Linked DNA regions of Struthio camelus. Each later gene encodes a partner of the first gene's protein in a complex. Links are inferred from orthologs where the notes say so. Each region holds a gene or a part of one and is shown on either strand. Other genes may lie near its edges. The genes, in order: KCNQ1 and KCNE3.

Region 1 (7,265 bases):
GAATAAAGCAAGCAGTAACCAGTAGAGGGAGTCACAGAGAGGACACAGGCAAATAAAGTCGGTCTTCTGGCCTCATTCTGGCAAATGAGACAACCATCACGATCTTGGATGTGAGAAGGCAAAACCTAGCTTAGCTCTCCATGAACGCTGGTTTGTATGCTAAAAACAAAGCAGTCAAGTTACTTCTTCTAGGGGGAGAAAAGCGCAAACATGATGGCGGAGGACTTATAAAAAGAAAATTAGACAGTACCCAACACAGGTAACTGACTTCTTTTTAGCTCTTCAGCTCACCATTAGTAACCAAATGCTTGCAAAAAGCCAGAAAACCGCATGCAAAAAATCAGGTCTCATGCCTCCTCCAAAGTACAGGCTGAAATAAAACAGCAGCTTCTCTGGATCAGAACAACTGTCTGTCTTTTCCATTACTTTTCTTGCTGAACTTCTGGGTTTTGAAGGAATAGCTTCACTTTTTTCCTCCATCTTAGTAGCAAACATTAGGCTACCAACGCTCAACATGTGACTGGCAGAGGCAGTAGTCAAAGAGAGGATCTCCTGGTCAAGTGGAAAACAAGCATCCCAGGAGCTTGCTGTGGGAGCTCAGAAAGCAAGAAAGAGTTGGAGGGGTATATACCAAAGATCAATAACCAAAAAGATTACCAGCAAGGGCACAAAGTGGGAGCCCGTCTACCACAGAAACAGGGAGAGGTTAGGATGGCTGTGGAAGTTACAAACTCAACTCCCTCTGCTGGCAGAAATCAGAACGGGGCTGCCTAAAAATACAGATGGCACTTACCGATTGCCCTGTAAGAAATGTATAGGGGTGGTAGTACCTCCTTCTGTCCTCTGACAAGGAATTTGCACAATGCATAATAACAGCCTTGAGAACATTCAGTACCTCTGTCATTCACCACTGCATCAAAAGAGCTGCTCTGGAAAGCTGGCAAGCACTGGGGCTAATGCTTCACCTCAGATAAGCGTGCATTGGGGGAAAAGAGGCAGTAACTGCTTGTACATGTTACAATCTCTTTCCTAGAGCAGAATTACCGAATCTTAATTCTCACTGTTAACTACCTGGAAAAAAAAAAAAAAAAGATTTTAAGTCAAAATTCAGGTCAGATTCTGTTAGATAGATGGATCCAACTGGGCGATGTCAATGAAAGCTCTTACCCCAAGACACACCTCGCCACAGTTTCTGCTGTCAGTACTTTTTCCTACGCCCACTGTTAAGATTTAGAGAAAATTAGCTAAGATATGCAAGACTATTTACTGTCCCTTCTACAAAAAACTTGAGGCACCTGAAAGAGGTCAGATATCATGCAGGATAGCTGCCTCAAAGTTTTTTTTTTTTCCCTCCTTTTTAGAAAATAAAGAACTCCAATTCCTAAGAGTGTTTTATATTATTCACCCACAACTATTATACACTTTTTAAAATTACGGCCATTAGCTGTTTTGTCATCTAATGGCATTGTCATAATGTTAAATACAGTGGAACCCACAATTATCTTAGCAGCTCCACACTTAAACACATTCTGATGATAGCTGTTTTTCCCTGACTAAAACAAATTTGGTACCACTTACCTGTCTACCTAAAGGCTCCAGGATCCTCACACGTGGAAAATAGGCCCACAACCCTCAATCTACTTAACATACTAATTACTTAGAATTAAAATCGGAACACAATGACTAGAGCATTAGAATCGAATTTTAACCAAGTCTTTTGTCGTAGGTCTTGGCCCATAAAACACCTTAGCCTCCAGCTGCTGTATTAAATATACACGTATGTGTGTGTATATGTATGCCTGTGTGTGTGCATATGCATACAATAAATAGATTTATGCAGGTACTGCACTTCCTCATCTTATTCTCTACGCTTAGTACTTACAAAGTGCTCAAGGGTCCCGCAAATCTTCCACAACATCTAGATTAAGACGCATTAATTCTTCACGGACGCACTCTTTAAGATCCTCCGGAAGAGCAGAACAGACGTACCCTGTGTTGGTTCAGGACGGACACAGTGCTCCATACTGAATATCGCGTAACATCCTCCAAACGTCACCCCCCCCGCTTTTTTTTTTTTTTTTGGGGGGGGGGGGGGCAAAAATAACAGCGATGGCCTTCCTTCCCCGTAGGAAAGTCGAACAAGGAGCATCAAAAAAGGCAAGGAAAAAAAAAAGCGCGGAGTGCCACAACGCTACACCTACCTCTTGCCTCCCTCCGAGAGGGCTGACACGCTAACGACACACCTGCCCCGCGGAGCAGGGGAGCGACGCAACGCGCCGAAAAGCCGGGAACCGGTGCACTGCATTTACCGGAGGACAAGCCGCCAAGCGACTACCTGCTTCGACTGCGCACCTGCAACGGACCAACTTCGGCCAGCTCCGAGGACGATCTTCTAGGACAAGCGATTTCAGCCAGCCTGGGCTCTTCTCTTGTACGCCCAACCCGCCACGCTGCGCCCCCGGAACACAGCCTCCCCGTCTCAAGCAAAAGGGGCTTTTCTCGGGTCCGCTCGCCCGCTGACCGCGAAGGGTTCCCCCCGCCCCGGGCGAAACACCTGCAGGGCGCAGCCCGCCCAGCAGAGCTCGGCGTTAGCTCGGGAAACGGCGACCAGGGGAAAGGCGGGAAACCCGGCTGCCCCCTCACGCCGGCCGCCGCCGCGCTGACAGGGCGAGCGGCCGTTAACGGCCGTTAGCGGCCGCCCGGGCGCGCGGCGGCCGCGGTACTCACACGGTGAAGTGGTAGACGAAGCACTTCCAGCCCGTGGGGCGCTCCAAGAAGTTGTAGACGCGGCCCTGGATGTTGCTGCGGCTCAGCAGGGGCTTGCGGAGGCTGTAGATGGAGACGCGCGGGTCGAGGCTGACGGGCGGCCGCGGGCCGTCGGCGTTCACCGCCGCCGCCGCCGCCTCGCTCCTCAGGCGCCGCGGCCGCTCCCGCTGGGGCTCGGCGCTGCAGCCCGGCGGCTGCTGCTGCTGCTGCCCGCCCTGGATGGGGGCATAGCGGGCGTGAGGGACGCTCTCAGCCAGCTCCAGCCCCGAGGGCTTCTTGCCGAGCGTCATGCTGCCCTTCCTGGGCAGCGACAGCCGGCCCAGGCTGCGCGCCTTCTGCTCGGCCGGCGGGGAGCTGGACGACATGGCAGCGGCACTACCGGTACCGGCTCGGCTCGGCTCGCCTCGCTGCCCTGCCGAGCGGCGGACCGGCACCCAGCGCCCTCCCGCCGCCGCTGGCCCGGCCCCCTGCGGGGCGGCTCCCGGCCGGGAAAGGTGAGGGGCAGCGGCGCGGGGCGGCCCCGGCTGTGAGGGAGCCGCTGCCCTTGGGCGGGCGCAGGTCGCCGAGTGACTCGGTGAGCTGTAAAACAATTATACATACGTTATATAAATATATATATAGTTCTTCCTCGCTGCTGCAGAGGTTGGGTCTGACACAAGGCCAGGTGGAAGGGGGCGTGCGCTCGGCCGGCCGCTCGCCGCCTCCTCAGGCCGTTTGGAGGGCTCGGGCCAACGTCCTGTTTTTTTAAGTTAGGGCTCAGGTAGCTGTGGCGTGAATCAGTTTGTCACGGTAGTAAGAACCTTTGCTGCAACAGTTAGTTAACAAGTTTCTCTTCCCAGAGCTTAAGGGAAGGGGTCGCCTTTGATGTGGAGAGCTTTTTTTTTCATTTATTTATCCCCCCCCCCCCCCCACACGCCTCTCTCTTCTAGCCCAAAATAGAACAGGACTCTTAGGAGCGAGGTGGAGTTGTTCAGGGGTGCAAGAATGCTGCGGGAAGATAAGGTGCTAAATAAAGCTGAACCCAAGCAAGGCTGCCCGCTGCAGCTGCAGGCAGAGGCTAGGCTGTGAGGGAGGCCCCGGGCGCCGCACAGGCCCCTGCGCTAGCGGGCCTGAGCCCGAGCGGGGCTGTCGGCTCCGACACAGGGTTGATTCACACCTGTGAAGAAGGTGGCCACTTGTTGGGAAAGCAAAAGGGGTAAAAAGAGAATTCGCAACACTTGTTTTTAAGTCATAAGGATTTAACCCCCCCACCCACCCCATCAGAGCAAGATGGAGGAGCTAGCTTAATGAAACAGCCTGGTGGAGACTCTGGGAACACCTCAGCAAGAGATAAACCTCCACCTTCAGGAGGGAGCTTGACTCCTGGCCGTGGGATGCTGGGAGCTGCAGCGAGCGTAGCCCAGCGCTTGCCCCTGAGCCAGAACCCTTCGGTTTCTTGTCTGCGTTTTAGTTGGTTTTTAGCGTCGGGCCTCCAGTCTCAGAGAAGAGAGCGTTTAGGCTTTCACTCAAGGACCACCAGTCAAAAGACCTTGTTAGTGGTTCAGAAACAGCTTCTCCCTCTTGGTAAAGACACGCTGCCTATCCTATCTGCAGAGGAAACCTACCTCCTGCAGTAGTCGCAGTGACTCCGCTCACCTCAGATTACAATCTGTTTGGCAACCAAAAGGGGCATCGCCGTGAATCTTTGAGTGGGGTGGCTAGCCGCTTGAATAGAGGAGAGCCACAAACTAATGACTCCTTCTGGCAATAAACCTGCAAGAAAAATGACCAAAGGAAGAAAGCCTTTGCTAGCCTTGAAGGCTTGTCATTTGAGGACTAGCCTGATTAAGTCTCGATATCAAAGTTAACAAATGTGTTTCCTTATGTAAGTGTTTTATTTTAAAGACTCACCTCTTGTCTGTACAGAACTTATCCTGGAGCCAGGTGCAAAACTTAAAAGAGTTTAGCAAAATAATAAGAGGCTATGTTTAAGTAGATTGTGGTGTTCCTCAAAAATGTTTTCAAAATTTTTTATAAAAATTGTGGCATTACGGGTTTTTTTATACTTTGCTTAACAAAACAGAGAATAGAAATCCCAAAACACCTGAAATGAAAAAAATGGAATTTTTGCATGACGTATACAATTTACTTCCATAAGAAAAGTTAGAGTAAGTACTGTGTACTTAAATAGCTAAGCAGGAAAGTAAATTGTTAAGCGCTGCATTTGGTCCTCAGTGGTCAATGAGAAACTGTTCCAAATAACCCAAGTTTGTTTCAATAATTTTCTTACTGCAAAACAAGAAAAGTCTAAAATATTTTCCATGGCCCAATATTTTGAATTGTTTTCATATCAGAAAAACTTTTATAATGTTTTGAGTTGGACTTCTAATTTTAATTACATTTTTCAAAGAATCATAACAAATAAATGAATTTTCAGTTTGAAAATATTTAAAATGAGCATTCAGGCAGTATCTACACCTCTTTTCACTAGAATCAAGGATTTCATCAAAATCCACTATTTTTTAATATATTACTGATGGATAGTGAAGTTGATTTTATTTGGTAAGAATCATTTTTTTCTGAACATTCCCAACTAGTTCATGTCAGTGAATAATAACATGCCTATCTGGCATAGGTAAAAGCCAATTGCATACTTAAATAAAAACATCAAAGGGATGAAGAATTAGTGCTGAGAATACAAGAATATTTGTCTTCATTATATATTAAATACCAAAACTATATGATAACTTGCAGCATTTTCAAGATTAATTCTTTAACATGCTAATGTTAATTCCTGTTTTTCCCATTAAGAACAGTCTTGATATTAACCCACATCTTGATATTAAAATATATACATTTTACAAAACAGTAATTATTTAAATGGAAGAAGAGAAAAAAATCCAATGAGTATGGTGTATACATAGAAGAGTTAAGAATGGAAAGAGGAGGTGGATGAGCATTAAAAAAATGTTTACTGAGCCAGATATCAGTGCTTTGATAGTGAAGAGACTAGGCAAATACAGGAGGATTAATAAGGAGGATACAGGGTATTAAATATTAAGGTGGAACTATACACTGAGTTGTTTCTTAGAAAAAAATCATGATTTAGTCTATTGTAAGTGTTTAAGAAACTGTAGCAAGAGGAATAATGGTGTGATATTTATTACTTCATTCTTTGCAAGTACGGTGTTTAATTTTTACATTTTTACGATGCTGCTGCTTCTAGAAATGAGACCTGGTGTGTAGTCAGCCACTGAAGTCTGATGGTGCTACCCGTGAAGCTGATGGTAACGCTCCCAACAGCAGTCATTACATGGGATAGGACTAGTAAAGCATTTCTGAGAATCCCACCATTGGGCTAGAGTAGATCCGAAGTGTTTGTTCCACCTCAGGTCTGTATTTCTTTATCCCATCTCCAGTTATGTCCTTTATTATCTATGCTTTGTTACATATGTTCATTATATGTTGTCTTTTTGTTTTGTTCAGTCATTTTTATAAGTACTGTGTAAGATAAAATGGCAAAGTCATAACTTTTATCACTGCTGAATGTTTGTAAGTGGTGCAGCAAGTTATAAAGAGACACTTTGATCTTTTATGTTATTACTTCCCTATGGAATCAAAGACTTAAACTGAAAGAATCTGAGCATTATCTATATATGCTAAAAGCCATTAACACTTATGTTGCAATTATTGGTTGCACTGAATTCTTGGCTGATATGGAAATCATGTGTTTTGTCTATTGCTTGCTGTAAGATTACTTTGGGGGGGGTGGTTTGTTTTTTTATACTACTTCCTGTTTCTGCCTAGCTAGAGAATGGGTGATGATAGAGGTAAAGAACATTTTTCAAGGAGAGGCAGAAGTTCTTTTTGTTTTTTAATTTTCAGATCATTTTGCTTGAATTAGAGCAAATATTTTGTTGAATTCCATTTCCTGAAGAGTCCACAGTTTAACCAGTTAACAGATCATTTTAAAAACTCAGCCAATGGTGTAGATAAAGTGACTCAATACTGAACCGAGAATTAAGTCCTAGATTGTTTAAATACTTTCATATGGCAGTTATGGTATAATAACTTTTGAAATATTCTCTATTTTAATGAAGAAGTTCTGCTCACAGAGTCATGTCATTACTTTAAAAATTCCTATTGACAACTGCAAAACAAGTAAGTATCTAAGTCTCAGACACAGAGAAAAGCTTGAAAACATGACAATAACAACTTGAACAAATAAACCTCAGTCTTATGAATCAGAGCAGAGGTAAGGAGACAGGAAAGGGAGAGAAGTGTTTACTTCATTTCTGAAATCCTGGGAAGACTATGGCTTAGCCTTTTCAATAGGGAGATGGGAGAGAAATATTATAGAAAAGTTTTGATTCATTCATCAAGTTGTAACTAAGAACAGTTACCTGAGTACCTATATGGATTTTTCATTGGATACCTTAGTAATCTTATTTACCTTTCTTTTAAATTGATCATGATCTGTTAATATCCGACTGGTATGCTTTTATACTGGCTTCACAACA
Region 2 (7,584 bases), on another chromosome or scaffold:
TGGGCCGTGCGGGTGCTGCGCCTGGGCCGGCGACCTTACGGCGAGGCGCTGCGGGCGCAGGAGCGGTGCGTGGCGGCGGCGCGGGCGGCGGCCGGCGAGGGGCTGGTGCTGAGCGAGCCGGCGGCGCCCGTGTACGCGTGGGGGCTGCGCGGGGCGCCGGCGGCGGCCGAGGCGGCGCGGCTGCGGGCGCGGGGCGCGGAGCTGGCGGCGGCGCGGCGCGGCGGGCTCCTCACCTTCCACGGGCCCGGCCAGCTGCTCGCTTTCCCCGTGCTCGACCTGCGCCGCCGCCGCCTGCCGCTGCGGGGCTACGTGGCGGCGCTGGAGGCGGCGGCGCTGGCGCTCTGCCGCCGCCTCGGCCTGCCGGCCGCCCGCGCCCTCCCGCCGCCCTGCACCGGCGTCTGGCTCGGCGACAGCAAGCTCTGCGCCATCGGTGAGCGCCGGCGGCGGGGGGGGGGAGCGTGCACGGGGGGGTTGCAGCGGGGGGGGAGCGTGCACGGGGACGGGGACGGGGGGTTGCAGCAGGGGGGGAGTGTGTATGGGGGGGGTTGCAGCGGGGGGGAGCGTGCACGGGGGGGTTGCAGCAGGGGGGGCAGCGTGCACGGGGACGGGGGGGTTGCAGCGGGGGGGGAGCGTGCATGGGAACGGGGGGTTGCAGCGGGGGGGGAGCGTGCACGGGGAGGGGGGGTTGCAGTGGGGGGGCAGCGTGCACGGGGAGGGGGGTTGCAGTGGGGGGGCAGCGTGCATGGGAACGGGGGGTTGCAGCAGGGGGGGAGCGTGCACGGGGAGGGGGGGTTGCAGCAGGGGGGGAGCGTGTATGGGGGGGTTGCAGCGGGGGGGGAGCGTGCACGGGGACGGGGAGTTGCAGCAGGGGGGGAGCGTGCACGGGGGGGTTGCAGCGGGGGGGGAGCGTGCACGGGGACGGGGGGTTGCAGCGGGGGGGGAGCGTGCACGGGGGGGTTGCAGCGGGGGGGGAGCGTGCATGGGAACGGGGGGTTGCAGCAGGGGGGGAGTGTGTATGGGGGGGGTTGCAGCGGGGGGGAGCGTGCACGGGGGGGTTGCAGCAGGGGGGGAGTGTGTATGGGGGGGGTTGCAGCGGGGGGGAGCGTGCACGGGGGGGTTGCAGCAGGGGGGGCAGCGTTCACGGGGACGGGGGGTGGCAGCGGGGGGGAAGCGTGCATGGGAACGGGGGGTTGCAGCAGGGGGGGAGCGTGCACGGGGAGGGGGGGTTGCAGCGGGGGGGCAGCGTGCACGGGGAGGGGGGTTGCAGCGGGGGGGAAGCGTGTATGGGGGGGTTGCAGTGCGGGGCAGCGTGCGCGGGGAGGGGGGGGTTGCAGCGGGGGGGAAGCGTGTATGGGGGGGTTGCAGTGCGGGGCAGCGTGCGCGGGGAGGGGGGGGTTGCAGCGGTGGGGGAGCGTGTATGGGGGGGTTGCAGCAGCAGGGGCGGGGGGAGCGTGCACGGGGGGGTTGCAGCACGGGGGGGGTTGCAGCGGGGGGAGCGTGCACGGGGGGGGTTGCAGCGGGGGGGCAGCGTGCACGGGGACGGGGGATTACAGCGGGGAGGGGGGTTGCAGCAGGTGCGGGGGGCAGGGGAAGGGGGGGTTGCAGCGGGGGGGGAGCGTGTACAGGGAGGGGGGTTGCAGCGGGGAGGGGGGGGTTGCACCGGGGGGCAGCGTGCAGGGGGAGGGGGGATTGCAGTGGGGAGGGGGGGTTGCAGCAGGGGTGGGGGGCAGCGTGCACGGGGGGGGTTGCAGCGGCGGGGGGAGTGTGCATGGGGGCGTGGGAATTGCACCGGGTCAGGGGAGCATTCTCAGGGAGGGCATGCATGGGGGGGGTTGCATCCTGCACCCCGGGACCCCCTGCACCCTCGGCCCCCGACCCTGCACCCCGGGACCCCCTTTGCACCCTCGGCCCCCGACCCTGCACCCCAGGCTGTCCTTGCACTCTCGGCCCCAGGCCCTGCACCCCGGGGCCCCCTTGCACCCTCGGCCCAGGGCCCCCTTGCACCCGGGGCCCCCTTGCACCCTTGGCCCCAGGCCCTGCACCCCGGGGCCCCTTTGCACCCGGGCCCCCCTGCACCCTTGGCCCCCGACCCTGCACCCCAGTGCCCCCTTGCACCCGGGGCCCCCTTGCACCCTCGGCCCCCGACCCTGCACCCCAGGGCCCCCTTGCACCCTCGGCCCCTGACCCTGCACCCCAGGGCCCCCTTGCACCCTCGGCCCCTGCCTCTGCCCCCTGGGGCCCCCTTTGCACCCTCGGCCCCTGACCCTGCACCCCAGGGCCCCCTTGCACCCTCGGCCCCCGACCCTGCACCCCAGGGCCCCCTTGCACCCGGGGCCCCCCTGCACCCCAGGGCCCCCTTGCACCCGGGGCCCCCTTGCACCCTTGGCCCCAGGCCCTGCACCCCGGGGCCCCTTTGCACCCGGGGCCCCCTTGCACCCTCGGCCCCCGACCCTGCACCCCGGGCCCCCCTGCACGCTCGGCCCCCGACCCTGCACCCCAGTGCCCCCTTGCACCCGGGGCCCCCTTGCACCCTCGGCCCCCGACCCTGCACCCCGGGGCCCCATTGCACCCTCGGCCCCAGGCCCTGCACCCTTAGCATGAGTCCTGCACCCTGGGGTCCCCTGGGTGCTGCCCCCACCCTGGCGGCTCCTCTTGGCCCGACGCCGGGCTGACGGGCGGGCGCTGTCGGCCGCCGCGCAGGCGTCCACTGCGGCAACTACATCACGTCGCACGGGCTGGCGCTCAACTGCTGCACGGACCTGACGTGGTTCGAGCACATCGTGCCCTGCGGCCTGGAGGGCAAGGGCGTCACGTCGCTGAGCCGCGAGCTGGGCCGGCCCGTGGCCGTCGCCGACGTCCTCGAGCCCTTCCTCGACGCCTTCCAGGAGGTTTTCGACTGCACCTTGGTCTTCGCGGAGGAGGCGGCGTGCTAGCGGCGGGCCGGCACGCGGCGGAGACTTGGTGCCCGCCGGAGACGTTCGTTAAATATTTACGTGACATCCGCTGGCCCGTGGTCTGGTTTTGTTAACGGCGCCGGTGCGCGGCCGCGCGATTCCCTGCTCTGTCCGGCCGGCGAGGGAGCCGGTAGCCGCGGCGGCGCTTTGGGACGTCGGGCGTCTCGGTCGCGTCGGCTGCCGAAACGCTCCGACGAGCCCTCGCGCGCTTCTTGCGCGCCCCTGCCCGGCGCGGCAGCGGAGACGTGCCGGAGGGGCGCCGCTTTCCGCCCCGTCCCTCTTCGTTCGGCGTCCTTCGCCGCCCGCCTCAGCGGGTTTTAGAGCCGGAGAGGCGCCGGGCGCCGCTCGCTGCCGTGTTGGCTCGCGCCCTCCAAGGCGCGCCGGGAGGCGGCCGGGACGGCGGCTCCCCAAAGCCCCCTTTGCCTCGAGCGGCGGCCGCCGGGGACCCTGTGGGGAGGCAGTGGGACCCCCGGGGTGGGAGCCGGACGGTGCAGGGAGGCAGCGGGATCACCAGGGTGGGAGTGGGACCCACCTGGGTGGGATCCCCGGGGTGGGGGCAGGACCCCCCGGAGCAGCAGCAGGACCCCCGGGGTGGCAGCTGGACCCCCCCGGGGGTGGGTGGACCCCCTGGGGGGGGCAGCAGGACCCCTGGGGCAGCAGTGGGACCCCCGGGTTGGTGCCAGACCCCCGAGGCAGGAACAGGATCCCCGAGGTGGGTGCAGGACCCCCCAGGACAGCAGCAGGACCCCCGGGGCAGCAGCAGGACCCCCGGGGCGGGTACAGGACCCCCAAGGGGGCAGCAGGACCCCCGGGGTGGGTGCAGGACCCCCGGGATGGGTGCAGGAGCCCCCGAGGCAGCAGCAGGACCCCTGGGACGGCAGCAGGACCCCCGAGGTGGGTGCAGGACCCCTGGGACGGCAGCAGGACCCCCGAGGTGGGTGCAGGATCCCCCGGGACGGCAGCAGGACCCCCGGGGCAGCAGCAGGGCCCCCGAGGTGGGTGCAGGACCCCCGGGGCAGCAGCAGGACCCCCCGGGGCGGCAGCAGGACCCCCGGGGCAGCAGCAGGACCCCCGGGATGGCAGCAGGACCCCCGAGGTGGGTGCAGGATCCCCCGGGGCAGCAGCAGGACCCCCGGAGCGGGTGCAGGACCCCCGGGACGGCAGCAGGACCCCCGAGGTGGGTGCAGGACCCCCGGGACGGCAGCAGGACCCCCGGGACGGCAGCAGGACCCCCGAGGTGGGTGCAGGATCCCCCGGGACGGCAGCAGGACCCCCGGGGCAGCAGCAGGACCCCCGGGACGGCAGCAGGACCCTCGAGGTGGGTGCAGGACCCCCGGGACGGCAGCAGGACCCCCGGGGCAGCAGCAGGACCCCCAGGACGGCAGCAGGACCCCCGAGGTGGGTGCAGGATCCCCCGGGACGGCAGCAGGATCCCCCGGGGCAGCAGCAGGACCCCCGGAGCGGGTGCAGGACCCCCGGGACGGCAGCAGGACCCTCGAGGTGGGTGCAGGACCCCCGGGACGGCAGCAGGACCCCCGGGGCAGCAGCAGGACCCCCGAGGTGGGTGCAGGATCCCCCGGGACGGCAGCAGGACCCTCGAGGTGGGTGCAGGACCCCCGGGGCAGCAGCAGGACCCCCCCCCCCGGGGGGCTGGGATTGGGAGGGGGCGGGCGCCGGGAAGGGGAGGAGGCAGCGGCGGCCCTGCCCCGCCGGGGGCCGGTCGGCGGCGGCAGCCGCGGGCGCCCGGGCGCGATGCTGCAGTGGCGGCTCGGCCCGGCCGCAGCGAGCAGGGCAGGGCAGGGCGGCGGGTGAGTGACCCCCCCCCCCGGGGCCCCGCCGACCCCCCCCTCCCTCCTCCCCAAAATCCACTCTGCAGGGCCCAAGGCGGCGGAGGAAGCAGCCGGGGTGCACCATCCTCTTCCTCGCCGAGGTCTGGTGTCCCCCCCCCCCCCGGCTTTCGAGGGGCGCGCCAGGCGGGAGCGGGGGGCGATGGGCCGGCGCGGGGAGCGAGGCGGCCCCCTCCCCGCTGCGCGTCCCCGGCGGGCGGGCGAGCACGAGGCGACGCGGGTGACAGCAGCGAGACCCGGCGGGGTGCCCCGGGGGGCTTGGCGGGGTGCGGGACCCCGCGAGGGTTTGCGCCCGGGGAAAACAAAAAACCTCCGCGAGCGATGCTTATTGCTAGCCGGCGGCGCTTGAAGCCGGTTCAGCTCGGTTCGGGCCGGGAAACGAAGGGCGCGACATCCAACTCAGGCCGCTCAGCACCGTGCCGCGGGGGTACCGCGGCCGGCTGACGCCGCTTCGCCTTCCCCGCAGGCTCGGCCGGGACATGGAGGAAGGCAACGGGACGGCCGCGTGGCACCAGAGCCTGCACGCCGTGCTCAGGACCCTGAACCGGACGCTGCACGGAGCGGCGCGTTGCGGACCGGACCGGCCGGCGGCGCTCAACGCCAGCGGCCGCCCCGGCCAGGCCGGCCGCAACGACAACGCTTACATGTACATCCTCTTCGTCATGACGCTCTTCGCCGCCACGGTGGGGAGCCTCATCCTAGGCTACACCAGGTCGCGCAAGGTGGACAAGCGGAGCGATCCCTACCACGTCTACATCAAGAACCGGGTGTCCATGATCTGAGTCCGGGCTGCGCGCCCCCGGCGAGGGGCTCCGCAGGGTTTCGGGCCGGCGCTGAGCCCGGGCGGACGGCTCCACGCTCGCTTTCCCGCGCGCCGCCGTCGAGCTCGGCCCCCCCCCCCGCCGAAAGCGGCGTGGGAAAGCGGCCAGGGTCACCGTCCGCGCGGCGATGATCCTGGCCGGGGGCTTTAAAACAGGAAAAAGCATCGTTGCTGCGCTCAGTGGGACGGCGCGGGCCGCCGGGAGCTCAGCGCCGACGGCCGTGGTTGTAGAGCCGGGCTGGACCCCGCTTTTCCCGCTGGGTATTAAAGGAGGTGGCGGTATCCGGAGCGGGTCGGCTCTGCTTCTTCCCCGAGCGAGGCGCGGGGTCGGCGGCGCTGGGCGTTTGGGGACGGGACGGGGCCGACGACGTTGGGCCGGGGAGCCCGGGAACGCCTTTCGGAGCGGGACGTCCCCAACGCCGGGCGCGGGAACCGGCTCCCGCCCCGAGCATCGCCCAAGCCTGGCCGGAGGCGTCCTGCTCCGCGTCCCCCCCCTCACCCAGGCCTGGCGGGCTCGGGACAGCGATGTTGGAGTCTTTCCTGCTTCCTTCCTGCGCTGCCGGCTGTAGCTTTGCCCTTTTGTACCGCGGGTCTCCGAGGTGGGTTTTTTTTTTTTTTCTTTCTCGCGGCCGCGAGCGCGGCCACCGGGAAGGGGACGTTCTCGGGCTCTGCCGGCCTCCTCGGCTTCGTCTCCGCTATTAAACTGGACGCGTTTGGCCGAGCGGCCGGGACCGTCAAACGGGGCGGCGGGAAAGGCCGGGGGCTGCCCGCGGCCCGGCCGAGGTGCCGCCGTCGCCGAGCCCGGCCGGCGGGGTTTCTCGGCGCTCCGCCACCTCGCTCCTGACCCGGCATTCGAGAGGCTTCGCCCTGTTTGCCTTGCGGTTGGGAAAAGCAAACAAACCCCTCCGGCAGCTTTAGTGGCAAATAAAGCGGAGGAGGTTGGGTGCCCGTCGCCTCCTCGGAGAGGTTTCGCGCTCCCTCGGCTCGGGGTCGGGGGGGGGGTTCATCCCCCAGGCGTCCGTCTCCTCCAGCCGGACGAGCCGTGGCGTCGGCGCGGGGGTCCCCAGGGCCGGGAGCTGGGGGATCCCCCCCCGACATCGGGGGGTCGCGGTGCTGTTGGAGCGGAGCACGCCTTAAAACAAAAAAAAATGGCCAAACCCGCTGTTTTTCCCCAAACGGGCCGGGCCCGGGGGGGTGACGAGGTGCCAGTGTCCCCCGGCGGCAGCTGCCGGGGCTCCCGGCGCCTGCGGCGAAACCCCCCGCTCGGCTCCAGCGCGGCTGCGAACTGGGGGGCGTGGGGGAGCGGGGGGAGTGGGAATGGGGGGGGGACGGGGGGAACGGGGGTGTGGGGACGGGGGGGTTGGAAGGGGGATGTGGGAACGGGGGGGAACGGGAATGGGGATGCGGGAATGGGGTGGAAACGGGGGGAATGGGGGTGTGGGAACACGGGTGCGGGAACAGGGGGGAACGGGGGTGCGGGAATGGGGGGGTGGGAATGGGGGTGCAGGAACGGGGGGAATCGAGGTGCAGGAAGGGGGATGGGGGCACTGGAGTGGGAACGGGGGTGCAGGAACGGGGGGGTGCGGAAACAGGGATGCGGGAACAGGGAAGCAGGAATGGGGGTGCGGGAGGGGGGGTGCAGGAATGGGGGGGTGGGAACGGGGGGGAACAGGGGAATGGGGGTGCGGGAGCAGGGGGTGGGAACGGGGGGGTGTGGGAACGGGGATGCAGGAACAGGAGTGTGGGAACGGGGGTGTGGGAATGGGAACAGGGGAACAGGGGTGCAGGAAAGGGGGTGCGGGAACGGGGGGAGAACGGGGGTAGGAACGGGGGTGTGGGAACAGGGGTGCGGCAATGGGGGGAACAGGGGAATGGGGGTGTGGGAACGGGGGTGCGGGAACGGGGATGCAGGAACAGCTGAGAGAATGGGGGGGTGAAAACAGGGATGCAGGAACAGGCGGGT

What was found.
Region 2: the proteins of KCNQ1 (region 1) and KCNE3 are in contact, whole or in part, in a cryo-EM structure (PDB 6V01), measured with the Homo sapiens proteins. The link is inferred for Struthio camelus from reciprocal best matches to the Homo sapiens genes KCNQ1 and KCNE3. Residues at the interface, in NP_000209.2 of Homo sapiens: Arg116, Pro117, Thr118, Gly119, Trp120, Cys122, Phe123, His126, Phe127, Phe130, Leu134, Leu137, Ile138, Val141, Leu142, Ile145, Gln147, Tyr148, Arg181, Met238, Val241, Asp242, Gln244, Thr247, Lys362, Asn365, Ile368; in NP_005463.1 of Homo sapiens: Asp54, Asp55, Asn56, Ser57, Tyr58, Ile61, Met65, Phe68, Ala69, Val72, Gly73, Leu75, Ile76, Leu77, Tyr79, Thr80, Arg81, Ser82, Arg83, Val85, Lys87, Asp90.

Annotation. Positions count from the first base shown.
Region 1 is NC_090946.1:18,681,325-18,688,589, reverse strand, and holds the start of KCNQ1 (potassium voltage-gated channel subfamily KQT member 1), read right to left. Parts: upstream 3,189-7,265; 5' UTR 3,132-3,188; coding exon 2,728-3,131; intron 1-2,727. UniProt on the Homo sapiens protein: Pore-forming subunit of the voltage-gated potassium (Kv) channel involved in the regulation of cardiomyocyte excitability and important in normal development and functions of myocardium, inner ear, stomach and colon.
Region 2 is NC_090942.1:223,401,290-223,408,873, forward strand, and holds KCNE3 (potassium voltage-gated channel subfamily E member 3), read left to right. Parts: upstream 1-4,671; 5' UTR 4,672-4,706; coding exon 4,707-4,762; exon of another isoform or gene 4,763-4,884; intron 4,885-5,267; coding exon 5,268-5,583; 3' UTR 5,584-6,883; downstream 6,884-7,584. Other genes in the region: LIPT2 (octanoyl-[acyl-carrier-protein]:protein N-octanoyltransferase LIPT2, mitochondrial), read left to right, coding at 1-430, 2,701-2,933. UniProt on the Homo sapiens protein: Ancillary protein that functions as a regulatory subunit of the voltage-gated potassium (Kv) channel complex composed of pore-forming and potassium-conducting alpha subunits and of regulatory beta subunits.